7 linked regions of the Sus scrofa genome follow. The protein of the gene in region 2 purifies or fractionates together with the protein of the main gene of each other region. This does not show direct contact. Links are inferred from orthologs where the notes say so. Each region holds a gene or a part of one and is shown on either strand. Other genes may lie near its edges.

Evidence for each region.
Region 1: the proteins of PLK1 (region 2) and PPP6R2 purify together in Homo sapiens (affinity purification with mass spectrometry; 7 studies listed by BioGRID and IntAct, counting the BioPlex papers as one, with this or other methods). This does not show direct contact. The link is inferred for Sus scrofa from reciprocal best matches to the Homo sapiens genes PLK1 and PPP6R2.
Region 3: the proteins of PLK1 (region 2) and ARHGAP5 purify together in Homo sapiens (affinity purification with mass spectrometry; 3 studies listed by BioGRID and IntAct, counting the BioPlex papers as one, with this or other methods). This does not show direct contact. The link is inferred for Sus scrofa from reciprocal best matches to the Homo sapiens genes PLK1 and ARHGAP5.
Region 4: the proteins of PLK1 (region 2) and FAM53C purify together in Homo sapiens (affinity purification with mass spectrometry; 3 studies listed by BioGRID and IntAct, counting the BioPlex papers as one, with this or other methods). This does not show direct contact. The link is inferred for Sus scrofa from reciprocal best matches to the Homo sapiens genes PLK1 and FAM53C.
Region 5: the proteins of PLK1 (region 2) and FOXM1 purify together in Homo sapiens (affinity purification with western blotting; 5 studies listed by BioGRID, with this or other methods). This does not show direct contact. The link is inferred for Sus scrofa from reciprocal best matches to the Homo sapiens genes PLK1 and FOXM1.
Region 6: the proteins of PLK1 (region 2) and MCM4 purify together in Homo sapiens (affinity purification with mass spectrometry; 3 studies listed by BioGRID and IntAct, with this or other methods). This does not show direct contact. The link is inferred for Sus scrofa from reciprocal best matches to the Homo sapiens genes PLK1 and MCM4.
Region 7: the proteins of PLK1 (region 2) and SLX4 purify together in Homo sapiens (affinity purification with mass spectrometry; 9 studies listed by BioGRID and IntAct, with this or other methods). This does not show direct contact. The link is inferred for Sus scrofa from reciprocal best matches to the Homo sapiens genes PLK1 and SLX4.

What each region holds. Positions count from the first base shown.
Region 1 is NC_010447.5:289,528-293,027, reverse strand, and holds part of PPP6R2 (serine/threonine-protein phosphatase 6 regulatory subunit 2), read left to right. Parts: intron 1-2,162; coding exon 2,163-2,278; intron 2,279-3,124; coding exon 3,125-3,210; intron 3,211-3,410; coding exon 3,411-3,491; intron 3,492-3,500. UniProt on the Homo sapiens protein: Regulatory subunit of protein phosphatase 6 (PP6). May function as a scaffolding PP6 subunit. Involved in the PP6-mediated dephosphorylation of NFKBIE opposing its degradation in response to TNF-alpha.
Region 2 is NC_010445.4:22,548,096-22,552,292, forward strand, and holds the start of PLK1 (serine/threonine-protein kinase PLK1), read right to left. Parts: upstream 2,801-4,197; 5' UTR 1,343-2,800; coding exon 935-1,342; intron 221-934; coding exon 52-220; intron 1-51. UniProt on the Homo sapiens protein: Serine/threonine-protein kinase that performs several important functions throughout M phase of the cell cycle, including the regulation of centrosome maturation and spindle assembly, the removal of cohesins from chromosome arms, the inactivation of anaphase-promoting complex/cyclosome (APC/C) inhibitors, and the regulation of mitotic exit and cytokinesis.
Region 3 is NC_010449.5:67,495,462-67,498,961, reverse strand, and holds part of ARHGAP5 (rho GTPase-activating protein 5), read left to right. Parts: intron 1-1,078; coding exon 1,079-1,406; 3' UTR 1,407-3,500. UniProt on the Homo sapiens protein: GTPase-activating protein for Rho family members.
Region 4 is NC_010444.4:140,337,101-140,340,600, reverse strand, and holds part of FAM53C (protein FAM53C), read right to left. Parts: intron 2,361-3,500; coding exon 1,576-2,360; intron 421-1,575; coding exon 163-420; 3' UTR 1-162.
Region 5 is NC_010447.5:67,244,849-67,249,032, reverse strand, and holds the start of FOXM1 (forkhead box protein M1), read right to left. Parts: upstream 2,801-4,184; 5' UTR 2,651-2,800; intron 87-2,650; 5' UTR 39-86; coding exon 1-38. UniProt on the Homo sapiens protein: Transcription factor regulating the expression of cell cycle genes essential for DNA replication and mitosis. Plays a role in the control of cell proliferation. Also plays a role in DNA break repair, participating in the DNA damage checkpoint response.
Region 6 is NC_010446.5:79,680,465-79,683,964, forward strand, and holds part of MCM4 (DNA replication licensing factor MCM4), read right to left. Parts: intron 2,554-3,500; coding exon 2,415-2,553; intron 688-2,414; coding exon 467-687; intron 9-466; coding exon 1-8. UniProt on the Homo sapiens protein: Acts as a component of the MCM2-7 complex (MCM complex) which is the replicative helicase essential for 'once per cell cycle' DNA replication initiation and elongation in eukaryotic cells.
Region 7 is NC_010445.4:38,645,496-38,649,703, reverse strand, and holds the start of SLX4 (structure-specific endonuclease subunit SLX4), read right to left. Parts: upstream 2,801-4,208; 5' UTR 2,728-2,800; exon of another isoform or gene 2,644-2,727; intron 536-2,643; 5' UTR 403-535; intron 1-402. UniProt on the Homo sapiens protein: Regulatory subunit that interacts with and increases the activity of different structure-specific endonucleases.

The sequences.
Region 1 (3,500 bases), on a different chromosome or scaffold from region 2:
CTGAGCCCTCGAAAGACACCTCCTGTGTTCTTATCGCCCCACCTGGCCTCTCCTCTGGGGATCGGCTGGGATCTTTCTGAAACCGACAGGTCGTGTCACTCCCTGCTTGAAAGTTGCAACGGCCCAGGTCCCCAGTGTGGCCGCGGGGTCCACCGTGGGCAGCCCCAGCCCCGCTCTGCCCAGGGCCGCTTCTGCTTCTCTCCAACCTCACCTAGTTCACCCCTCATGTCCTGCTAGGACTGGACCCACAATTTTTTTTTTTTTTAATTTTTCCTATTATAGTTGACTTACAGTGTCCTGTCAGTTTCTGCTGTACAGCGAAGTGACCCAGTTATACATACAAATACGTGCGGTCTCTTTTCCCATGATCCTCCATCACGTTCCATCGCAAGCGATTGGATATAGCTCCCTGTGCCGTACGGCAGGGCCTCATTGCTTATCTGCTCCCAGTGCGATGGTTTGCATCTGCTAACCCCGGACCCCGGTCCCTCCCTCTCCCTCGGCAACAAGTCTGTTCTCCAAGTCCATGATTTTCTTTTCTGTGGAAAGGGTCATTTGTGCCGTGTGTTAGATTTCAGGTATGAGTGATATCATATGGTATTTGGCTTTTTTTTGCTTTTTAGGGCTGCACTCGCAGCATATGGAGATTCCCAGGCTAGGGGTCGAATCAGAGCTACAGCTGCCGGCTTACACCACAGCCACAGCAATGTGGGATCCAAGCCACATCTGTGACCTACACCACAGCTCACAGTAATGCCAGATCCTTAACCTACTGAGCGAGGCCAGGGATCGAACCCACAACATCATGGTTCCTAGTCGGATTTGTTTCCACTGTGCCACAGTGGGAACTCCTGTCTTTCTCTTTCTGACTTACTTCACTTAATATGAGTGTGTCTAGTTCCATCCATGTTGCTGCAAATGGCATTATTTTGTTCTTTTTTATGGCTGAGTAGTAGTCCATTGTGTATAGATACCACATCTTCCTACTCCGGTCATCTGTTGATGGACATTGAGGTTGTTTCCATGTCTTGGCTGTTGTGGACGGTGCTGCAGTGAGCATGCAGGTGCATGTGTCTTTTTCAGTGAAGTTTTGTCCAGGTATATGCCCAGCAGTGGGCTTGCTGGGTCATATGGTGGCTTGATACTGTTTTCTGAGGAAGCTCCATTCTCCTGTGTGCAGTGGTTGTACCAGTTTACATTCCCGCCAAGTGTAGGACCCACAAGGTTGTGTCTGCTCTCAAGTAGCAACAAGAGAACGGGGCCGCCTGGCATTCCCCTGGGTGCAGTCCACGTGGTGCCCAGGAAGGCATATTGCTGCACACGTGTGTGTTCCTGTGTCGGGGGAGGGCCGGCCGCTGTCCCCGAGGGGTCCCTGAGCCACGGCAGCCTGTGGCCAGGCTTGTGAGCCTGGATGCCTCCAGACGCGGGCCCTGGCCGGCCTCGGTCCAGCTCTCCTGCATCCTGGCCAGCTGGTCACAGGCCTCCACCCTCATCCCAGCTCCACCTGGGGGCCGGTCCCGCCCAGCCTCCGCTGACCCCCGTCCTCTGCCAGGCTGGCCCTGGACTCAGGACCACCCCTGCTTCCTCTCCTGGGGGTGGCAGGCTCTGAGCGGGGAACACAGCTGAAAGCGCGCCCTCTCCCCTCCGGGCCCCAGGGGCGAAGATTGGCAGGACCCTCTTCCCGGGGCCTGTGGGGGGAGGCTTGCTGTTCTGCTGGGTCACGCGTGGGCCAGGTGCTGCATCGAGGGAGAGCTGTGTGTTCACGGCCACGTGGGGCGTGCGGCACCACGGACGGGAGCCAGGACCTGCGCTTCTGGGCGCGGAGCACTCGTGAGCAGGGCAGGGACAGGCCTGCCCCACCGCTGCCCCGTGCTCTGCCCACTCCCAGGTCCTGGGTCTGTCCCCGGGCTCCCCTAGGAGCTTGGCACACGCCCGCGGCCCTTGCAGGAGCACTGCCCGGGCGCTGGTCTGGAGGCCGCGGGGGTGGGTGCGGGCTCTGTGGCCTCAGCCCCCGCCACGGCTGCCGGTGTCACTGCTCGGTGGTGACCTGCAAGTGACGCAGGCATGGAGCTGGTGTCCCACAGTGAGGCCATGAGGAGGCTGGCGGGGCGGTAGCCTGTTGGGGCCGCGGGGCCGCCTGGCCTGACGCCGCGTCTCCCCAGGGCCGCGGGCGGCATGAGGCGCGGAAACATGGGCCACCTGACGCGCATCGCCAACGCGGTGGTGCAGAACCTCGAGGGGGGCCCCATGCAGACCCACGTCAGCGAGGTCATCCGAGGTGAGCGTGCGGCCGTCTGGGGCTGCCGGCTGGTGCCCGGGCCGTGGGCTTGCCTGCCCACAGGGCAGCCCTGGGGGCCCCGGGCGCGCTTCTGCGGGGCCGACGCCAAGAGACCAGCTCTTCTCTGGCCGCGGGGCCCGTCTGCGAGCGGGGGAGGGGGCTCTTCCCCAGAGTGGCGCCGGGCCCTGGCCAGGCCTCCTCTGCCCCGGCTGCCAGACCCGAGGGCGGCCACCCGCGCCCTTCCCAGCCCTGGAGTGTCCTGGGCACAGCCTGCAGCTCTGGGTGCCCGGCCTCCTGGGCTGAGCTGGGGGCCTGAGGCACCTCCATTCAGACACAAGAAGGCAGCAGCTTAGGAGGGGATTGTGGCCTTGCTGGGGAGGCAGGGTGCCTCGGGGCTCAGGCCCTGGGGCCGAGGCAGGGGCCTGCTAGGGAGCAGGTGCGGAGGTGCCGGTGGAGGGGGCCGCCCTGCGGGCGGACAGAAAGGTTGGGTGTGCGGCGGCGTGGCCATGATGGGCCCACACCTGTGCCTCCCCTAGTTGCCCTCGTGGGGGTCTCGGCCGTGAGCCTCCATCGGTGGGGCTGGGCGGGGGCAGCCCCTTGGTCTGCACCTGCAGGAGGGGGTCCCGGGCAGAGCTGGGTCTGGGGAGGTGGGAGCGAGCGGGGAGCCCTTGGCCACGATCTTCCTCCCTGTTTCTGGGCTGTGGGTCTTTCCGAGGCTCCGACCGCCCCAGAAAAACAGGGGCCCCCAGGCCCGGGTAGGTGCCATGGGGCCTGCGGGGAGGGAGGGGTGTGGCCGCACCCCATGCCCCCCTTGTGCCTGGGGCTTACGGATGGCCTTCTCTGCAGGGCTCCCTGCGGACTGCCGTGGGCGCTGGGCGAGCTTCGTGGAGGAGACGCTGACCGAGGCCAACCGCAGGAACGCGGTGGACCTGGTGAGCAGCCCCCGCGTCTGTAGACAGCTCACGTGCACCCCGCAGCCGAGAGCGTGCGGTGGAGCCTCTGGCCCCGGGCCGGTCGAGAGGGGGGCCCCTTGGCCCCCCGGTCCTTCCTGGCCTGTGCCCGTGGGGCTGCTTGGCGCGGGGCCCCGTGCACCGCACAGGGAGGCTCATGCCCGCCGCCCTGGCTGTTGCAGGTGAGCACCCGCCTCCTGCACCCCTCAGGTGAGGATGAGGACGTGGAGGCCGCTTTCCCCAACGAGCTGTCCCTTCAGCAGGTGTGTGTG
Region 2 (4,197 bases):
TCATTCCCACTTCCTGCAATGTCAAACGCCCTTGCAGGCCCAGCTCCTCACCTATTTTCACCTCCAGATCCTCGTTCAGGAAGAGGTTGCCCAGCTTGAGGTCTCTGTGAATAACACGGTTTCGGTGCAGGTACTGGCAGCCGAGGACGATCTGCCGCAGATAGTAGCGGGCCTCGGGCTCGGTGAGTGCTTTCCTCCGCTTGTGCAGCTCCAGGAGAGACTTGGCGAGGGGAGGAAGGAGGAACGGGCAGTGGGTACTCAGGCCCAAGGCAGGGAAGCAGTATCATTAGGTGAAAGCTGCCTAGGACCCTACCCAGCAGTCCTTCTCCAGGACAGCTATGCTCTCCACTCTCCCCTAAGCCAGGCCACAACGGTTCAGAGCGCCCTCTCTCCCACCAGCTCCCTTACCTGGGACTCCTCTCTCAACCCTTCAGGAAGTTCAAGAGTACCCCGTATGCCCCCCCCCCCCCCCCGCCACCCCCTCGCCAGGCCTCTTCCGCAGCAAGAGATCCCTTTTCTGACCCCTCTCCTCCCCGGAAGCCCCCAAGTCTGGCTCCAACTACCCTGTGCCTGACCCAACCCCACTCCGGAAGGTCCAGAGCACCCCGTACCTAGCAACTCCGGAAGACCATTAGCAGGGCTCTCCCGCGACCCGCGCCTCCCCAACTCCGCCCAACTCCTAGCGTCCTTGAGCCGCCTTCCCTAGAGGCAACGCGACCCGGGCTCCACTAAACCCGAACCCCCCTCCCCTAGCAGCCCCAAGTGCCAAGCCCCCTCTCTACTCGAGACCTTCTCCACTTCCAGCTCGAGATTCCCACCCAGCACCTCCTCTCCAGCAGCTCCGAGTCCCGGGGGGTCCCCTCCCCAGCAGCTGGGTCCGGACGCCCCAACCCCAGCCTGCAGGCAGCTCCAGTTTCCCAGCAGCGACACTCACTCTCCGGCGGCAGAGCTCCAGCACCACGAACACGAAGTCGTTGTCCTCGAAAAAGCCGTGGAAGCCGACGACGTGCTGGTGGGCAAGGCTGCGGTGAATGGATATCTCCATGGACATCTTCTCCTTCTGGTGCGGCTTGAGCAGCAGCGACTTCGGCACGATCTTGCCGGCGAACACCTCCTTCGTGTCCGCGTCCGAGATCTCGAAGCACTTGGCAAAGCCGCCCTTCCCCAGAAAGCGCCCGCGGAGATAGCGCCGCCGGCTGCGCGGGTCCACTAGGACCTCCGGGATCTCTTTCGCCGGCGGAGCGGCCGCCGGGGCCCCGGGAGCTGCAACTCCGGGGCCCCCGGCTTTTCCTGGGTCAGCCGGTGCCCGCGCCAGCTTCCCTGTAGTTGCCGCCGCACTCATGTCCCCGGAGTTGCTCAGCGGACCTAGCAGGGTCTGGGCCGAGGCTTGGCACCGCTCTGCCCCTCCTCGAATTCAAACGCGGCGCCGGGAACGTTACAAAAGCCTACGCGCTACTGATTGGCCGCGGGGATTTAAAATCCAAACCCGCCCGCCGCGCGGCACTATGGGAGCTCTCTGCGCAGCAGCCTCCTTTAAACCCGTGCCCAGCCCGGGGAGGAGAAGCTTGATTGACAGGGACTCGCGGACACGTGGGATGCCTGGGAAACCAGACCCGGCGTGGGGATGCTGAGACCCAGTCCCAGGAGAGGGGGAGTTCGGGGTTTCTCCCTTTCTCGGCGGCTGGGGAAGGTCGGGCAGTCCACGTGCACCTCCCCCAGGAAGTTTTTCCCACCACCTTCCTTCACCCCTGCCCCGCCTTCGAGCTTATAAACTGAGAACGGAGACCCGGCAGCGCCGAGAGGTAGCTGGGAGAGCCTTAACACCCGCCTTCGACGTCATCAACTCTCTTCCAAGTCCCTGCAGTAAACTAAAATCTAAGTAAAAAGAGGATGCTTGCCAGGCAAATGTGACCTTCAAGACAAACCCCCTACTTCCCTCCTTCAAATAACAGCTGCTCCCGAGCCTCTGGGTTACAGCTCAAGGCTACTCAAAGTATGGTGCAGGAACCACCAGCATTATCACCACCTGGGAGCTTGTTAGAAAGGCAAAGCTTCAGGCCTCACCGCAGGCCTCCCAGTGAGTCCTACACTTAGGGAAGTTTGAGAAGCACAGAACCAGAGCCCCCACCCCGCTATTCTGCAAGAAAGTCGGCTGGCTGGCTCACTGCTGTCTCCCAGCGCCTAAAATAGTGGACCTTCAATTGTTTGGTAAGAGGGACTGTGTGGCTGGTTGGCGGAATGCCTGGCAAACTGGTAGACCAAGGCCAAATTTGGTCTGCAGAGGTGTTTTGTTTGGTCTCCCGCTGTTAAATTTTTGGATCCATTTACAGGTTCAAAAATACAGAGAGCGCACATAAAAAAATCAGTTTTGTGGCTTTTTCTTAAGGAAAACTACTTGCTGTGGCAACTCTATGCCTACATACCTTTCCAGTTTGCCACAGTTCCCAGCTACCCCTTTGCCCATTTGCCTGTCTGGCTTCTGTAGATGTTTGAGCGGAAACCCTGCAATAGCCGATTACCCAGGTTAGTAGTCTTTGGTAATAGTTAGACATCCTATGATGTCTGTGCTAGAACTCAGCAAAAATCAACCGAATTACAAGTATCTCTTTACCTGACTCCCAATAAACAAAGTGGCATGATGACATCATTCCTACCCCATGTCCCAAGCTCCCAGCATAGTGCCTAATAAAAAGGAGTGATTAAAATGTTTGCTGAATAGGGAGCTTCCATTGTGGCTCGGTGGGTTATGAACCTGACTAGCATCCATGAGGACCCAGATTGGATCTCTGGCCTCTCTCAGTGAGTTAAAGATTGCTGTGAACTGTGGTGTAGGTTGCACATCTGGCTCAGATCCCACGTGGCTATGGCGTAGGCCAGTGGCTGCAGTTCCCATTTGACCCCTAGCCTGGGAACTTCCATGTACCACAGGTGCAGCCCTAAAAAGCAAAAAAGCAAAAAAAAAAAAAAGTTTGCTAAATAAACTATTACATTTAGAATGGATAAGCAATGAGGTCCTGCTGTATAGCACAGGGAACTCTATACAATCCCTTGTCATAGAACATGATAGAAAATAATATGAAAAAAAGAATATGCATATGTATAACTGGGTCACTGTACAGCAGAAATTGACAGAACACGGTAAATCAACTATCATAAAAAACTTTTAAAAAAATAAAATGTTTACTAAATAAGTTTTTTTAATTAAGTTATTCTTTTTTAACCCCTGTGATGTGTAATATCCATTTTATCTTTTTATAAAGTTGACTCCCTCTGCCAGAAAAGTATACATATCTTAACTGTACAGCTCAGTGAATTTTCACAAACTGAACACACCCCATGTAAACAGCACCCAGACTGAGAAAGAGAATACTACCAACACGCCAGAAGTCTCTCTTTGCTCTGTGTTGGGGCTCCCCAAGACCACCCCCAGTTTGATGATTCACTAAGAGATTCCCAGGGCTCAGCATAGAGTCCTACTCACAGACGGCTAAGGTTTATTGCAGCGAAAGGCTACGAAGCGAAATCAAAAGGGAAGAAGCGCATGGGACAAAATCCAGAGGCAACCAGGCCCCACCTTCCCACAGTCTTCTCCCAGTGGAGTCACACAGGACACACTTGATTCCTCCAGCAATGAGTGTGATGACATGCATGAACTGTCATCTACCAGGAAAGCTTATTAGAGACTCAGCTCCTAGGGCTTTTCTGGGGGCGCCCTCTGCTAGCATACACCCAAATTCCAGATTCCTGGAGGGAACGCAGGTATACAGCATAAACCACATTGTTTGCACAGTGTAGGCCCAGTGAGCGACTCTTTATCATTAAGGAAATGGTGAGAACCTTCCTGAAATCCAAGAACTGAAATGCCAGCCAAGGGCCAACCACGGAGCAAGTCTTTCTAAGGAGAGCAGTCTCAGGCCTGCTTTAGTAGCTCTCTTCTGCACAGTCCACCCCCCTCGGCCCTTGGCCAAGTGTTCCTTGGAGCAAAATTATAATCATTAGGCCCCCCACCTGAAAGAGTGAGACCAACCTGCAGTATTGCTCTCAGTTATGTCTGTTACAAGTCTGAAATCAGTCAAAGTAAATCCCATTAACCATAAAAGTTTATCTTAGGGGAGTTCCAGTGTGGCATAGTGGAAGTGAATCCGGCTAGGAACCATGAGATTGCAGGTTCAATCCCTGGCCTCGCTCAGTGGGTTA
Region 3 (3,500 bases), on a different chromosome or scaffold from region 2:
TGACTGGGCCCCATCATATGCTAAATCTTAACAAAAAGTTGATTTTATTCTGAATATTCTCATTTAGTCTCAACAAATACTAATAACTTTTGTGACAGAACACATGTTTTTAGAGCACATATTTTACCTCAGATGAGCAACTATTGTGTTTGGGGGTCTTTTGGTTTACTTTTTAAATTTTTGATAATGTAAATTTAAGTGTAAGATTTTCTTCCTACCTTGTATACTGGGCTGTTTCTTTTTGTGTGAAATGAGAGGGTTGGATAAAATACTTATTTCCTCCCAATTTAATAATTTATAATTCACGATTTGCTTCTTATATTTCTTGCTTATTACAGGTAGTGCTTGCTCGTTTGTTTGTTTGTTTGTTTGTTTATTTTGCTTTTTAGGGCTGCACCCATGGCATATGGAGGTTCCCAGCCTAGGAGTCTATTTGGAGCTACAGCTACCAGCCTATACCAGAGCCACACCAACACAGGATCCCAGCCCCATCGGCAACCTACATGACAGCTCATGGCAATGCTGAATCCTTAACCCACTGAACGAGGCCAGGGATCGAACCCACAACCTTATGGTTCCTGGTCAGATTTGTTTCCTCTGCGCCACGACAGGAACTCCTGCTCACATATTTAAAGGCCTAGATGTAAAGTAGTTAATAGTATATGTTCATTTGTAAATTATTTATTTTTAAATCATATGAGTATGTGTTTCTCTGAACTCTTGTCATTGAAATTAAATTTGTAACAATGTACAGAGTACTTAATGATTGGAAAGATTGTTTTTTGGAGTTCTAGGAAATTAATTGTTTTTGCAAGTTGAAAAGTATCCTGGTTAGAGAATATAATAGTTTTTCCCAAGTAAAGACCATCTTTGATTCTCATAAGGAATGAATTCTACTGCTCCCTTCTGTTATGAGAATGTAGTTGAACATGGAATGCACAAGAAGAAAAAGTTTTAAATTTGAAGTTAAGATTAACAAAAGGTAAAACTAAATCATCTAAAATAATATCTAGCTCTTGGATTCTTTAATTGCACTGAGCTTTGACTCTTTTATTTGTTTTTTTTCTTATAATTTCAGAGTTAGTCAGCAAAATAAAGTCAACCTAATGACAGCAGACAACTTATCCATCTGTTTTTGGCCAACTTTGATGAGACCTGATTTTGAAAATCGAGAGTTTCTGTCTACCACCAAGATCCATCAGTCTGTTGTTGAAACATTCATTCAGCAGTGTCAGTTTTTCTTTTACAATGGAGAGATTGTGGAAACTGCGAACACTGTGGCTCCTCCACCACCTTCAAACCCAGGACAATTGGTGGAACCAATGGTACCGCTTCAGTTACCACCACCATTGCAACCTCAGCTGATACAACCACAGTTACAGACAGATCCTCTTGGTATTATATAAGTTGGAAGTGATTGCAGACAGCCTGAAATTGGACAAAAAGCAAATCTAGACATGCATGTTTCAGGGTTCAGTAGTATACTTCATGTTTCTTACAGGTAATTCACATTCAAAATGATGAGACATTTCTCTTTGAAATATATGGTATTCCTTATTCATTTACATTGCAAATCTAATACCATGTGATAAGCATGACTGGAGACGTTTAATTTTTATAAACAAAAATAGCTATAAAATACAAAGCTGCTGTTGCATGCAACCTTATTGCAATCAGTATATCATTCCTGTGGCATTTTCTGTCACATTATATTGTGAATAAAATTTTTCTATAGAAATTAAATGATTTAAAAATTCACATATATGAAACATTTAATGCTTTTCAGCCTGCTTTATGGCTGGTTTTGTTATATGATGTGCTAATTTGAGCAACTTAATTTACTTTTAGCAGTCTGTGTAGATAACTAAAATCCCAGTTAAGTATTTTTTAATTTCAGGCTACTTATGCCATGCTTGGGATGTTATTTGAAAGAAGGAAAAATACACTTAACCTTTTTGCACCTTCATCTTCTAAGTAAACCTATGGATTATTTGATGGGGGTAAATGAACATTTCTTATACACACATACCAAGGACATGCTTGTGGCTAAAGTGAGTTGATAATGTTGTGCAAAGGATAGCTGTCACCAACTCATTTCTTTATAGTCCATAATGAAACAAACATCTTGTATACTGTTAATTCTGTAAACAGATGCATGTTCAAAAGATCTATTATGGTCTTGTAATCTTAATCTAATATATTTTAGATATTTTAATTTTTTTCCCTCTTGGGAAATACATTTAGTAGTGTAGAAAATACTTCATGACATTTTCATATAAGGTTATATAACTTTTCATACATAAACATGAAATTTGTTGTAGAAAATTCTTTAAACCAAACATTTTAATCTAGGACTTCAATTTAATCTGTCCCTTGAATCTATTTTTATGTGGCCCTTAAAACCATATCCCAAAATCCATTGCTAATATAGCAATAAAAATACTTTGGGTACTGACAGCCTCTTTGGAGTATGTACATATATTGTTGCAAACCTGTATTCATATTCTTTTCTTTGATAATGTTGTACTAAAATCCAAAATGGCTTTTACACCATTTTTTAAACCAATTTTTTTTCCTTTAATGTTGGTACCAGATTTGCTGTAAATGACTGCTGCTTTGGGGATTAAATATTTTGTCAGTGAAGTTACCACCAGAACACTAAATTAATGAATAAAATTTTCGGAATAAGTGGCATAGGTAAATTTTGTTAGGCCTTATTCAAAATTTGTTCATTATCAAACCATGCCATTTTTTTCCCCAGAAAGGGGGGGGAAAAAAAAAAGGCTTGTTTTTTGTTGCTAGGTTATATTTTGTGTAGTAAAGAAAAAATTCTTTGGTCCATGTTGTAATCTTCATTCATACTGCAATTTTAAGGTTGTCTTATATGTACTATAGTAAATAGATGATTTTGAGATTTGAGGCTCCTAAGAGTTTGATTTGCTCCATGTTTTTCCTAAAATAAATACTGTCTTTCCCAACTGTTATGTCCTAGGTATTGTACTTCTAATTTTAACTTCAGAATCAAGATGTTGACATGAACCAGGCTGCTGTTGAAGTACATGTATATTATAAATTATCTTATTTGTGTTATACTCTTACATGTTATTATCTTTTCTAAGAAAACAAAGTCCCTATTATTCCTATTGCAAAGCACACAGGAATTAAGAAAGTACAGTAATTTTTAAAAAGAAAAATCCGGTAAATGTAGTATTCTTAACTTGTTCTATATTACTTATACCTATTGTCTATATAGCTTTAATTTATAGCTGTCAGTTTAACATTGGCATGTCTGGCAAAGAAAATTAAACTTTAAGAGTTTTATAAACTGTTTCTAGATTGCTAAAGAATTTATTTTTCTATATATGGTATAGACAAAGCTCAAAACTATGTACAGGAAAAAAGCCTGACTATTTCTTTTAGAAGAAGGCTGAAAAGAGAATTTTCAGAATTGTTCATGTCTTCAGTTCATTTGGTCATAACTTTGCTATTGTAATATGTGA
Region 4 (3,500 bases), on a different chromosome or scaffold from region 2:
CATGGTCGAGCTTCCTGGAGCGAGAAGATTTCCGGCTGCCCTGAGTCGGAGCCCTCCACTCACCCCCATTCCCAGGCTGGGCCCCGGGCCTTGGGACCTCGACACTTGTTAGTAGCCATAAGAGAGTCAGTCTGTGTGGCCCCAGGAAGCAGCCTCTCAGTTTTAGTTCTCCTCAATCAGATTCAAGTCCAGGTCCCCAAAGTCCTGCTGGCACAGTGTCCGCTTGCTCAGCGCCTGCCGCCCCCACCGCACGGCCCCCTCTTCCTCCTCTTCGCTTTCACTCAGCACCTGGGAGGAACCCCCAATGGGGCTGCAGGAAGCAGAGAGAGGCGGGGGGCTACAGGCCATGAACCACGGTGGAGAGTTACTGCTGCCTTCCGGGGCTGTTTCTTGGAGACAGAGACCTCCTGAGTATGGTTTCTGTCAAACAAACAAACAAAATTAAAGCAAAGAAAGACACTCACTTCCCAGAGAACCCTGGCCCAGAGTGCCTTGAAGGCAGGAGTCCTAAGCATTAGGGTGAGGTCATGACCTCCCTGATAAAATTTGGGATATTTGGTATACATGCACATTTCTTTGAAGAAAGAGCCCACAGTTTCTATGAGATTCAAGATTAGAAGCAGGTTTAAAATCTTCACATGGGAGTTCCCGTCGTGGTGGGGCGGAAACAAATCCGACTAGGAACCATGAGGTTGCAGGTTCGATCTCTGGCCTTGCTCAGTGGGTTAAGGAGCTGGTGTTGCTGTGAGCTATGGTGTACGTCGCAGACGCAGATCTGAGGCTTCAGCAGCTGTAGCTCCTATCAGACCCCTAGCCTGGGAACCTCCACATACCGCAGGTGCGGCCCTAAAAAGCAAAAATCAATTAATCAATAAAATCTTCACGTGGGCAGGAATGCTGTCTGCTTATTCCACTACTGGATTGCTAGTGCCTCCTCAGAGCCTGCTACATAGCAGGTATTCAATATTGTTTGCTGACTAGTTGAATGAATGATTCTATGAATGAGTGAATAGGTTCTCACTTATTCGAAAAGGTTTGCAACCCAGTAATTTAGAAGGAAGAACATGGAAAAAGTGGGCAAGTGCATACAACAACTGCACGCACACTGGGAAGTCAAAAACATTTGTTGGGCAGATGAATGATGTAGCAGACTGCCATGCTTAAGCCGTCACAGACCCACAGCAAGCAGCGAAGGGCAAGGGGTAAAGCCAGCCATGTGTGAGGAGGGTGGGGCACTGATGATGGAGCTTTGGTAGCTCTTGCCTTCTCAGAGAGGAGCCAAAGTGCCTCTAGCATGACAATGTGGGATCTCTGTTGGAAGGTTTAACAGAGGTCTCATCCCAAGTTTCTCTGGAACCCCCCAGGACTGAGGCTTTTCACAAGACCTGGGACCTTCAGGGCTAAAACCGGGATAGTCCTGGGTAAATGGAGACAGAACACCCTAGCAAAAAGCTCAGAGAGAAAGGAGCTCCTGGGGAGACCCAGGAAGGGCCCAGAGCTAGAGGACAGCACAAAAGTGAAAACGGAACAGTGCCCCTACTCCCATCCAAGCCTCCCTGGTCCTGCAGGTCCCACCTGATTCATCTTGTCAAAGTCCAAGGAAGGCCGCAGCCGCCGCGGGTCCTCCTCATGGCGCCGCTTGACCCCAGCTTTTCGGGCATCAAGATCGCAAGGCTGTGAGCGGCTTCGGGGAAGATTGCGCAGGCCTCGAGGTCGCCAGGGCAGCTCCGGGGAGGATGCGGGGGAGCTCCGGGCAGAGGGCAAGAAGCGGCTTGCCTGTGGGCCCAGGCTGGGCGACAGGGAGAAGCGGCGCTGGGGTGGGCAAGGTGACAAGGACTCAGCATCACTCTCCCAGGAGCCACTCTGCGGGGAGGCAGCAGAGGGACGAGAGGACTCTTGGGCCAGGGCCAGGCTGAAGAAAGGGGGACTGTAGGGTCTGTGGGCTGGGGCACATTGAGAAGAGGCACTGGGAGCTTGGAGGAACCTGAGGCTGGAGACCCGCTTCGGGGGGCTCTGGTGAGGCACCTGCGGCCCACCCCCTCCACCACTGCCCCGGTGCTTGATGGGAGTCCACAGCTTGGAGGGGGCGGGCCGCCACACCGGCTGCCAGCGAGACAGGTCCACGGGCACTGAGAGTGAGCGGCAGTGCCTCTTGGACGGAGGGGCAGGGGGCACAGGAAGCTTTTCTGGGTCTGGGGGCTCAGGGCTTAGGACTTGGGAGAGGGGCTGCTCCTGTAGGGAACTTCCCGGGCTGGGTGGTCTGAGGTGCAGGCTCAAGCCTGAGGGATGGTAACTGAGGTTGAGGCTGTCCTGGAACTCGGCACAGGAACATGGGGGCAGACCCCTCCAGGAAGCACCTTCTGGAAGGCATTCAGAATAAAAATTAATATTAATGATAACTAACATTTTTATTTTTGTCTTTTGTCTTTTTGTCTCCCATGGCATGTGGAAGTTCCCAAGCTATGGGTTGAATTGGAGCTACAGCTGCCAGCCTACACCACAGCCATAGCAACTCAGAATCCGAGTCGGGTCTGCGACCTACCCCACAGTTCACGGCAACGCCAGATCCTTAACCCACTGAGAGAGGCCAGGGATGGAACCCACATCCTCATGGATACTAGCCAAGTTCGTTAACCACTAAGCCAGGTTGGGAACTCCTGTGATAGCTAATATATTTTTAAAAGCTTACTACGTGCCACACAATGTAATGAGTACTCTATGTGACATGTCTCAAAAATCTCATGAGTTAGGTTCTATAACTACCCCCATTTCACAGATAAGAGAAGTTCTATAACTTGCCAAAAGTCATGTAGGAATCAAATGACCAAAGCAGTATTCACACCTAGATTTGTCTGATGCCAAAGCTAAGTCTTTTTTTTTTTTTTTTTTTTTTGTCTTTTCTAGGGCTGCACCTGCAGCATATGGAGGTTCCCAGGCTAGGGGTCTAATTGGAGCTATAGCTGCAGGCCTACACCACAGCCACAGCAACGTCAGATTTGAGCCACATCTGTGACCTACACCGCAGTTCACGGCAACACCGGATCCTTAACCCACTGAGCGAGGCCAGGGATAGAACACCTGGAACGTCATGGTTCCTAGTCGGGTTCATTAACCACTGTGCCACGACGGGAACTCCTAAACCTAAGTCTTTTAAAAATTTTTTTTATTTTTTGTTTTTTAGGGCTGTACCCGCGGCATACAGAAGTTCCCAGGCCATGGGTTGAATCAGAGTTACAGCTGTGAGCCTACACCACAGCCACAGCAATGCCAGATCCGAGCCGAATCTGGGACCCACACCACAGGTCACAGCAATACCAGATCTTCAACCCACTGAGAGGGGCCAAGGATCAAACCTGTGTCCTCATGGATACTAGTCGGGTTTGTTACCACTGAGCCACCAGGGAAACTCGCTCAAGCTAGGGCTTTTAACCACTGTACTCTACTGCCTCCTTTATGAGAAACCATCTGAAACTGAAAACATAGTCTCATATATCGTCTGC
Region 5 (4,184 bases), on a different chromosome or scaffold from region 2:
CTTTTGAGAATCAGTGGCCGACGGGGGCTGGTTTTCATTATGAGTCTGTGCTTTCACTCTCCATTGAGAAATCACAAGCATGGACCCTGGAAAGTGCAAGAAAGAGCAGGATGTCAGAGATCTGTTAGGAGGTTTTGTTAGAGAGGGGTGTTCCTCTTCATGACCAGGAGGGTAAGCCATGGGCCCAGGTGAATGGTCCCTGGGCCTCTGTAAAGACTAAAGACAACAGGAGCTGAGTTCTACGGAAGCAAATAGAGGCAATTCAAAGTGAGATTGAGTTAGTTGTAGGTCAACATAGCCAAAGGTCTGGAAGCTTAAGAATGTTTGGCAACAGGAGTTCTTGTCGTGGCTCAGTGGTTAATGAAGCCGACTAGGAACCATGAGGTTGAGGGTTTGATCCCTGCCCTTGCTCAGTGGGTTAAGGATCCGGCGAGGCTGTGAGCTGTGGTATAGGCTGCAGACGCGGCTCAGATCCCGAGTTGCTGTGGCTCTGGCGTAGGCCGGTGGCTACAGCTCCGATTAGACCCTTAGCCAGGAAACCTCCATATGCCTCGGGAACGGCCCAAGAAATGGCAAAAAGACAAAAAAAAAAAAAAGAATGTTTGGCAACAGATACAAGTAGGGGAGCTACAAAAATGTGGAAATGCCTATTATTGCCTACAATAATTCAGATCACTTGCAGTGACTGTAGGGGTGGGAATGCTAGAATGGACATTCTGATAAGTCCCTGATCCCATAATCCATTCTAGTCTGGAGCATTTACATATATATATATATATATATTTTTTTTTTTTTTTTTTTCCAGCCCCAACTGCAGCATGCAGAAGTCCTGGGCTAGGGATCGAACCCAAGCTACAGGAGTGATGACACCAGATCCTTAACCACTAGGCCACCAGGTAACTCTCCTATATTTCTCTCTCTCTTTTTTTTTTTTTGTCTTTTTGCTATTTCTAGGGCCGCTCCTGTGGCATATGGAGTTTCCCAGGCTAGGGGTCGAATAGGAGCTATAGCCACCGGCCTACGCCAGAGCCACAGCAACTCGGGATCCGAGCCGCGTCTGCAACTTACACCACAGCTCACGGCAACGCCGGATCCTTAACCCACTGAGCAAGGGCAGGGACCGAACCCTCAACCTCATGGTTCCTAGTCGGATTTGTTAACCACTGTGCCACGATGAGAACTCCTCTCTTTTTTTTTTTGATCTTTTTAGGGCCCCACTCAAAGCATATGGAAGTTTCCAGGCTAGGGGTTGAATTGGAGCTACAGCTGCTGGCCTACACCACAGTCCCACAGTCACAGCAATGCCAGATCCTTAACCCACTGAGCGAGGCCAGGGATTGAACCCATGTCCTCATGGATGCTAGTTGGGTTTGTTACCGCTGAGCCACAACGGGAACTCCCTCTTTTATATTTCTTATAATATTTCACTTTATAAATTAAAGGATCTGTGCCCACAGAATCAGAGGAAAAAGGCAAATTATCCGTTGCACTATTGTCACACCACTGAAGGAAACATCTCCCAGTTCATGAGACCTCAGATAAAAGGGAAACTGCCCCCTTCAAGGCTCAGGGTACAGTTGTGCAGATCATGGCTGACATTCACTTAACAGGCTATTATCCTTCCACTGATTTAGGAAAAAAAAAAAAAAACATTTTCCCCACAATTTGCAAAATATTTATATGGAGACATTTTATAACTTGTAAGTACTTATTCATATTTTGATTTTCTAGGCATGCGACTCGATTAACTTTCAGAATCAAGACCATAATCCCTCTCTCCTAATAGAATGTGCTACCATCAATGTGCCCGGTGGTTCTGTAATGTTAATGGAAATCGGTTTTATCTTTTAAAAATTGTGTTTTGTTGATTTTAACAGATCCATGAATACTCTACCATAATGTAGAGTTGTGTGATTCTACTGAGAGGTGCTTTGAGAGACAGAGGAATAGGTTGTCTCTTTTTTAGGCTATCTGCAATCTCCCTAAAAATGATTGTCACACTCATATGACATTTGCCATCTGCTTAGAAGTCACAGACCTTCTCCACTCTGCCTCCTCCCTTTCCTTTACATCTAGGTTTCCTCTCCCTTCAAATCTCAGTTTTACCTCCACCTCCTATCTCTTCTGGCCTTCCTCCCTCCACCCATCAATCAGAAGACACTAGTACTGGCTTCCTACCCCTCACCCCAGGATATCTTTCAGGTCTAAAGTTTAATTTTCCTTTCTATTCAGACCACCCTCTACCTCCAATGGCCAATCCTTTCTAGCCCGGAACGGCTCCCGCGACCCCCGCGACCCGACCCCCATCCAGACCACATAGGACAAGGGTCTCCAGGACCGCGAGGAGGGCCCTGGGAAAGGGCGGGGTGGAGGCAGTGCAGCCTAGTGGTGAGGGCACCTGGGCGCAGGGACTGGGAGCTGGTCGGTGTCGGTTCTAAGCGGAGTGGGCTCAGATGGATCCCATCCGCCGTCTGCCAGAGCGAGCAGGCCGCCCTTCCTCCCAGGGAGGGCCCGGGCCGCTCCGCGAGAGAGGTGAGGAGGCCGGGAGGTGGTGCAGAAGCGCGGTGCAGCCCCGCCACCTCCCGCCGGAGCCGGCCCTCCGCGCCGTCTTGCCGCCGGGCCCCCGGGCCTCCCTCCTGCCGCCGCTCACCTCTCTGCACCGTCAGCTCTGGGCTCCCGGAGGCTCCGCGCTGCTCCCACCTGCAGGCCGGGCCGCGTCCCCGGGCTGCGGGGTGGGGAATCCCGGGATCCCGCCGCGGGGGGGGGTGTTGTCCCGGGCCGGGGCCGGGGGTGGGGTCCCGCTCCGGAGCTTTCAGTTTGTTCCGCTGTTTGAAATTGGCGCCGGCGGAGCGTTGCGGTCACGTGACGGGCGTGGCCAATCGGCGGCGGCCTTGTTTCCGCGATCCGCCTAGTCGTCTGGGCGGGCGCTGCGGTCCAGCCCGGCAGGTGAGGTTGCTCGGCAGGCGGGAGAGGCCAGTGAGGTGGCCCCGCCGGGCAGTGAGGTCGGCGGAGCGGCGGCGGGTGAGGCAGGTGAGCTGGGGAGTCGGGACCGCCGGCGAAGCCGCGGCGGGCGAGGCGGAACCTAGAGGTGCGGGCGCGCGGCTCTTGGGGAGGGCGCTGGAGGGCTCCGCTGCGGCGGGACGCGGGGACACTGGGTATCACGGGCAGGCCCCGCAGCCCTCCGGGCCCTGAGCAGTCGCCGCCCCGGGATCTTACCCCCTCAGCGACTTCCCAGCTGGTGGAGGGGATGGGGGAACTGTCCTCCGTTGACCTGCAACCAGCGACCGTCCGGAGCCCCTACCGGCCTTCGGGCTACTTGGGCGCAGTTGTGACCTTGTTCAAGCTCCCTCCTCCTCAAAATTTACATACAGGCCGCAAACTCCGCCTCGGCTCTGAACCTTCAATCCAAATCTCGTCCCCGGCCCCATGCTATCGTTTATATGTGGTAAATTACTTTATTATTAACTTAGGCAACACCTAAGTTTAGTTGAGCACCCATTGTGCACCAGGCGGCGCTAGGATGCAGTGGCAGAGGGGCCTTTCTCCTGAGCTTAAGGTCTGATGGGAGGAGAAAGAAGACATTTTCGAAGCAAATTACCTATTTAAACAAATGGAGAGTTCAACTGTGAGGTGATAAATTAGAACTCGGGGATCACATTGAGTATCTCCAGTAAGAGGATCTGGCCTTAAGGGAGGTGAGAAGAGCATTTCCCAGGAACTCATGCTTGGTCTGTGATCTGATACCTTTAGGCAAAGGTGGGAGGGAGACCCTCAAAGCAAAGGGTGGGAGGTGCTGCAGGGCAGTGTGGTAGGAGGGGAGGAAGGGAGGTCTGCACAGAGGCTGAAGCGTCTCTGAGGAGTGTGAGCTAAGAGACCTGTGCAGAGTGCGTGTGAGATGAAGCTGGAACCAGAGCCTCAGGACCTTAGCCACCACTGAAAAGTTTGGCCCTTACAGAGAATCAAAACATGTTAAGCAGAAGAGAGTCAGGATTAGATTTGCAGTTTAAAGAGTTCACGGAGGGGTGTGCCTGAGTAGGCCAGTTAGGCTATTGCACTGCCCTAGGCCAGAATTGTTGGAACTTGAAGGGTGTGGGGGCCAGAGGGAGTAGGAGAAAGAGGAGTAGGGTAATGTTATTATTTTTCACAAAGGATTACTTTTATCAAATTTTGGGTTGAACCTAATA
Region 6 (3,500 bases), on a different chromosome or scaffold from region 2:
AGCTTGATCTGAAAGAGCCGTGCAGACCCTCAAGACAGGCCGCGCCCTCCCCGCTCACAGCTATTTCCACCTCCTTGGGAAGATTTTCACATTAAACCTGCTATGGAATAAAGTGTGCACGAGAAGCCGGCACACACTCTCAGCCCAGTGGCTGCCGGGTCACCCACCTGCCAGCTGACAGACTTAGCCTCCACGTTTGGGGACCTTCAGGTTTTACATGTGCCTGCCTGATGGGCTAGAGACTCTCCAACCTTAGTATTTCCCACAGAAGCATCTCATTAAATTTGACTTAATCACAAGTGATGCTAAACTGAGGATGCTCCCTTACAGAACCCCTGCCCCTGGCAAGACCCCAGAGGAGCACCCAGGGCCCGGCCCAGGCCTCTAATGAGCCCGCCTGCCCCAGAGCAAATGAAGTGCGGTTTCAGGGGTCCGGAGTGGAGAGGGCATGTGGAGGGGCACGCACCATCTGCTTGTCGGAGAAGACGGAGCGGTTGTGGATGAGCGCCATGCTGTGGGTGGTGTGGCAGCGCTCGCAGGTGCCGGGCTCCGCAATGCGGCCTCGGTCTATCTCCACCCGGGCCGTGTGGGCGCACACCTGGCACTGGAAGAAGGCCTCCTGCATCTCGGGGATCAGCTGGGACGTCCTGATCACCATGCCGCTGATGGCAATGAGCTGGTCGATGTCTGCAGGGTGGGGAGAGGGCAGCTGTCCTCTCTGAGCTGGAGCAGACGTCCAGCCAGGAGGGCCTCAACTGAGGTGTCGGGATGGCCAGGGTCACAGAGCAGACGTCTCGCTGGCTACCCTGGGGTCTGGCCTCAGACACGCTTCCCGTGTCTGGCTTGCTCCCCCCAACCCCTTAGGTCCACTTACCCGTGCTGAGCTGGGCCAAGCAAAGGCTACCTGGAGATGTGGGCCCCAGGATGCAGCCGAGAGCCATGCTTGTGACCATCTCCTACAGTCACAGGGGCCATCCCCACGTCAAACACCATTGCTTGTCTGTTGTTTCTTTGCTGGGGCCCTGTCCCAGGCACCCCCATCTCTTCCCTCGTCTGCCTCCTGTCCAGCTCCACTTTTTGCCTCCATGCTTTTGCCCATGTTGTTCCCTCGCCTGGACCTCACTCTTGCCACACGCGGGGACCCTGGCTCCTAGTGAACCAGGTAGGCGGGTGGGCTGGGTGGGGTTCCCGTGTGCCCTTGGGAACAGGCTGAGCCTCCGCAGCCTCACCCATGGGGCAGGAGTCGGGCCCCCCTGCTGCTGAGGACTAGCACCCTGCAGAGAACCACCTTCCCCACAGCTGAGCTTCTCAGGCCGCCAGCTCTCACCAGGGCTCACGTGGCCTCTGCCATCTGGTGCCCCCCCAACCTCCTGCTCCCTCCCACCAACCCTCCTCTTCTTTTAAAATGTAGCTGTTGTGATGGTTGGATCTCTGGAAGTTTCTTGACTTCCACAACCATGGTCATTGCCAACCTCCCTGGAACTTGCCCTTTAGTAATAAAGCAGCCCAGCACCCTCATCTGGACAACTCCTACCCACCAGGGTCCCTCCACAACCTCCCAGTGTGGGGATGGTACCAGAGTCAAGTTCCCAAGGGAAAATATGACTCTTCCTTCGTAAATGGCCAAGTCCAATATTTGCTGCTGTTTATTGGTTGTTTCGCTTTTACTGAGATTTGCGCCTTTAGCACATTTACCTACAGGAGTACTTGCTAATTTCCTACAGCTTTTATACCTCACTCAACCATCACATCTGCCCTGTGTTTTCACTCCTATAGGCACCGTCCATGGTGGAGCATCCTAACTGCACTTGAACATACCCTGCATACTCAGGAACTTCTCAGGAGAAATTCTTTCTCCTCAGAAAGGATCAATGGCTCCCCACTGGCTTAGGATTAAAAGCCTAAGCTCCTCAGGCCCCACCCAGACATCCCTGCTGCAGCCATCACGTCCTGTCTGAAGTCTTGCTTCACTTCTGCTCACATCCCTTCTTTCTGTCTAGAGTGAAGCCCTTAGGTCTGCTTCCCAATCCTTCCCACTGGACCGGCACTGCCTCTACTTGGGCTGAGACTTACCCACCACATGCTTCTGCCTCTTCCACCATTTCTTCTGTAAGCTTCAGGGCAGGGACTGCATTTTATATTTGTTTTCAACACTGACCCTGAATTTAGAGAGCTACCGAGTTATGGTATCTTTTTTATGGTTTTACTTTAGGTAACAATAGGTATGGTGGATCTAAAAGCTTATGGGTGACTGGATCTGTCACTAGGTCTTGTCAATTTATAGCCCACAACCAATGCTTTTAAAGTTCCTTGATGAGGTTTTTGTTTACTTTCACATAAGGTATTTTCCTGCTATTAAAAGTGTTACCCTCTATATGTCATCTCTATCTCAGTAAAAGTGGAAGAAAAATCACCTTCTGGATTCAGGTTCCTCATATTCTTAGTCTTCAATGCATTGAATGGTCTTACTTGAATCTGATGTTCTAAGATCGAGTCAGGATAACGGTCAAAGAAGATCTCATTGACAGCCATGTCGAAAGTTGGGATAACTTCCTTTAAAAACAAACATAATGCAGGCTGTGTTTGTGTTCTTATTTCAATATATTCTTATTTTTTTATTTTTTGTCTTTTTAGGGCTGCACTTGTAGAATATGGAAGTTCCCAGGCCAGGGGTCAAATTGCAGCTGTTGCTGCCAGCCTGCGCCAGAGCCACAGCAATGCAGGATCCAAGCCACGTCTGCGACCCACACCACAGCTCACAGCAATGCCAGATCCTTAACCCACTGAGCGAGGCCAGGGATCAAACCTGCAACCTCATGGTTCCTAGTCAGATTCGTTTCTGCTGTCCATGATGGGAACTCCCAATATAGTCTTAAATATAATAAAGCAACTCATGTTAGCAAAGCATCAAAGCAAGAAACAAAAAAACCCCACAAAAACTCACAACCTGCATAATCCAAAAACGTTACCTTGTAAAATCACAGACATGCTGTTTACAAACCCTTGGGCACCCTGAACTCTCTCACCTCTGCATATTCCCACTTGAGTTAAATAATACCAGACAGACAATAGTGCCTTCATGGAGTTCCCTTGTGGTGAGGGTTCGATCCCTGGCCTGGGAACTTCTGCATGCCATACCCAAAAAAGTTGCCTTTATGATACTGTAGTTACATGAGCTTAGTAATAGAACCTCATCCTCTCATGACTTACTTTTTCTCTATAACAAAATGATATCAAAATATTCATTCAAATTTTTTAATACCTATTCCCCATTTTGCAGATAAGGAAACAGCCTCTTGGAAGCTGAGGAACTGGACCAAAGTCTCAGTTACTTAGCAGCAAAATCAGGATTTAAAACCAAGTCTGGGAGCCTTTTCTCGAGGTTACCTGAGCTGCTACCTCCCAGGCTTAAGTCCTAATTTCACCCCAAATAAAACTTAGCTCTCAACTTAAAAATAAAGCAAAACCAAGTGTACCTGCCTTCAAAGCCTCAAGCTAGA
Region 7 (4,208 bases), about 16 Mb from region 2:
ATACCTGGAGAGTTTGCACAATTGAGCAAAAAGTAGTGTCCACCCTCCATGATGATTTAAAATGTCTTCAAGGAGTTCCCATCATGGCGCAGTGGTTAACGAATCCGACTAGGATCCATGAGGCTGCAGGTTCAATCCCTGGCCTTGCTCAGTGTGTTAACAGATCCAGCGTTGCTATGAGCTGTGGTGTAGGCCGCAGATGCGGCTCGGGTCCCGCGTTGCTGTGGCTCTGGCGTAGGCTGGCAGCTACAGCTCTGATTCCATCCCTAGCCTGGGAACCTCCATATGCCGTGGGAGAGTCCCAAGAAATGGCAAAAAAAGACAAAAAAATAAATAAATTTTTAAAAAATAATAAAATGTCTTCAAGTGGAACCTGGGTTAAACAGCATGTTTAAAGCTTACCTCTATTAAAGTTCACATCTGAGAGGTTCTCTCATCCAGGAGATGCCTCTGAGATAGAATACATGTGACTTTGGTGCTCAGGAGGTTCGCCAAGATCTCCGTATTGATAAAGCACATGTGTTCAATTTTTCACCTGTGGAAAACCAAAAGCATCTGTGTAATTTGGAGTTCCCTGGTGGGTCAAAGGGATAAGGATCTGGCAGTGTCACTGCTGTGGTTATTGATGTGGTTTGGGTTTGATCCCTGGCCCAGGAACTTCCACCGGTAAGGCCAAAAAAAAAAAAAAAGGTGTAATTAGATGTTGTCACTTTATGCTATTTCTTCCAGGAAGGTACAAGAGCATGTGGGGTATAGGGAAAGTCTTCAGGTTAACAATCCCCTGTCAAATACTCAGCTCTAGCCTGGTTAACACTGACTAATCATCCTATAGGGGACCCCAACATGACAGGGGAGAGGGATCCAGAAACCTGTCAAAGCTTCTCCTTCCACAGGCAGAAAAATCTGTGCAACTTTGAAGAGTATAGTTTTTACTGAAACCTGGGGAATGAATCCTATGAAGAGTCATCACACAAACAAGATGACCCCCCAAACCAGAAAAAACTATCTCTTAGGCCCATGCTGGTCCAAGGCCTCCAGCTCAGAGGCTCTATCAGCAAGCAATATAATGAGAGCGAGGGAATGGACACCTGAACACTCAGGAAGATACAAAAGGCTCTTCCTTCACTGATGCCCCCAGTTTTTCCAAATCAGAAAAAGGTTGCTTTTCTCCATCCTGTCACCCCAGCAACTGTCCTGGCTCAGAGCTAGTATGCTGCCCATATGCAAAGATTGGTCCCTATGGGCATGCTTATTTATACTGGCACAGTTTAGGGGAGTTCACAAATCAACACTGAATAACCCAATGGCAGAAAGTTCATTTCAAATGCTACGATGCAATTTCCACTGTCTAAGTAATCCAGTTAATCACCTAGTCTTCCAGAGCTAGGCCTAAAATCTACTTGGCATGGCTAGCTCATTTGCATCTTCCATCTCCTTAGAGAAGCCTGTCCTCATTCTTTATCTAATGGAAAAAGATAAACTAACTGTGTCCTCTTTGCTCCCAGAGAGGATATCATTATTTCTTATCATTGCACATCACTTTCTCAATGGCATTTATCAGCAGGTATAATAATATGTAATAGACTTATTGAAAGCTTACTGAGTGGCCAGGCAGCAGTCTCAGGTGCTTTACAAGTCTAGCTTAATACATACAACAACCCTGCTGGGAGAATCTATTGTCATCCCTCCTTTCGGCTCCACCGCAGCATGAGGAAGTCTGTGGGCCAGGGATTGAACCCGAACCACAGCAGCGACCGGAGCCACACCAATGACAATGCCAGATCCTTAAGCAGCTGAGCCACCAGGGAATACCTGTCATCCTGTCTTTACAGCAAGGAACCAGGCACAAGAATAAAGAATGGGCTCAGGTTCTCACAGCTTTTCAAGTGGCAGGGCTGGGATCAAATCCAGGCAGTGTGGTTCCAGGGCATCGCCTCTTATATTTTTTTGTTCATTTACTTATCTGTCCCCTACTAAGCTCAAAACTTCAGGGAGCACATGCTTATCTTTATTTCATAGTCTCTTTGGCTGACAAGGTGCCGGGCTTGGAATAAGTGCTAGACAATTATCTGTTGAATTACCTAACTGCTGAGTTTGGTACAATCAGGAGCGAAAAAGAGTGGCAGGAGAGAAGGCTGCAGGGAGAAGCAGAGAATCGTGTCCGAGCGTCTGGAACGTCAGGCTAAGCAAACGGTTGGATGTGATCGCTAGAGTAGACTCTGCCCTCCACACTGCTTTGAATCTCCGACTCTGAAAATACTAGTCTAAAACAGTGCTTCTATACAGTGCTCACTCAGTATCTACTGAAGGAGAGCGCAGGTTTCCAGAGGTCTGAGACAGCTTTGTACCTACAGCGGCAGGCGTGCCACAGACGCGGAAAGAATGAATGGGGCAGGTGCGGGCGGACCCCCGCTTCCCTCAACCCAGTGACACACGGGCTGTCCCCTGGAAAAGGGCTGCGAAGGACTCTGGCGCCTATAAAGGTAGACAGCGAATCCCGATCGCCCGACGGACCTCCGGGTCGTGACCCCATAGTTATCCGGTACCCCTCCCCTCTTCCGTTTAGGATGCCCTGGCCCCCTCCACCCAAGCGCGGCTCCTGCCTCTAACCGCATTTAACGGCGGGCGAGAAAGGTTCTTCACCTTCAGGAGAGAAGGAAAGGCCCAAAGCAGTGGGACCTGCTCTCCCGGGTGTAGACTCCCGGCCCCAAGCCCGACTCCTCCTACCTCCGGCGCCGCCGCAGCACCTTCTCAACGGAGACCCGCGCGCCTGCGCATGCGCCACTGGGCATCGCGCGGAGAATTGCGTTTGCGCAGGCGCTGGGCGACCCGCGGGCTCGCTTCCCATCCTGCTTCGCGGCCAAGGGGCGCAGCAGAGCGTTTCCGACCGCGCGAGGCGGGAGGAGGTGGAGTGCCGTGCACGAGGGTCGTGTGGCCGCGGGCCTAGGTGGCGCCAGGCACTCTGAAGTGTTGAGGAAGAGTCAGGGGGAGTTTAGGCTCCTGCCTGGGCTTTAAGCTGAAGTTTGAGTGCACCACGGTTCACACAGGAAACGTATGCGGCTTCATTGGCGGCCCCTTGGAGGGCACCGGCCTGACGAGCCGACGAGTAAACCGAGGCGCCCGACGCAGCCAGACGCAGCGGGAGAGCGTCCTTCTGATGGTTGTGGGCAGGTTGAGGCCCGGAGGGCGGGTTGCCCAGCGCGGGCCGAGGGTAAGCCGAAGCCGAGGCGATGCTCACCCCCCCTCACGCCCACCCCCGAGGCTGGCTCTCCGGGCTTGAGGGGCGCGAAGCCGGAGAGGTTCGCTCGGGCTGAAGTTTGAGAGAAACTGTGAAGTGTATTAAGGGCCTTAAGAGGCACTGGGAGCCGTTAAAGACTTTGTTTTTAAAGAAAGTGCTAGTCGCAGTGTAAAAATTGGTCTGGAGAGGCTACCTCGGTGAAAAGGCTCCTGTATCGCAGGCGAGACATGGCGGTGGCCTGAATTAGGAGTTGGAGTGGAGGGAAGGGACAACTGTTAAGACGACTGAATTATCGTGACCTAGTTAGTGATGGGGGTATGTGGGTTTCTGGCCTGAGCATCTGAGTAGAATGTGGTCCCACTTTCTGATAGTAGTGAATACAGGAGACGGAGTAGGCCCATGCATTTGGCTTTTTTTTTTTTTTTTTTCCTTGCTTAAATATAATTTACAGGAATTCCTGCTTTGGCGCAATGGGATCTGTGCTGTCTCTGCAGCGCTGGGACTCGTGTTCTGTCCCCAGCAGGCAGTGAGTTAAGGATCGCTTGTTGCCGCAGTTGTGACATAGGTTGCAGCTGCGGCTTAGATTCAGTCCCTGGATGGTGAACTTATATATGCAGCAGGTGCTGCCAAAAGAAAATAAAGTGCTGTGAACATCTGTGTATGAGCGTGTTTTTAGTTCTCTTGGGTATATACCTAGTAAGAGTGCGATTGCTGGGTCATATGGTATTTAGTTCTCAATGTTGAGTTTCAGGGAGTTCCTGTCGTGGCGCAGTGGTTAACGAATCCGACTAGGAACCATGAGGTTGCGGGTTCGGTCCCTGCCCTTGCTCAGTGGGTTAATGATCTGGCGTTGCCGTGAGCTGTGGTGTAGGTTGCAGACGCGGCTCGGATCCCACGTTGCTGTGGCTCTGGCATAGGCCGGAGGCTACAGCTCCGATTAGACCCCTAGCCTGGGAACCTCCATATGCCG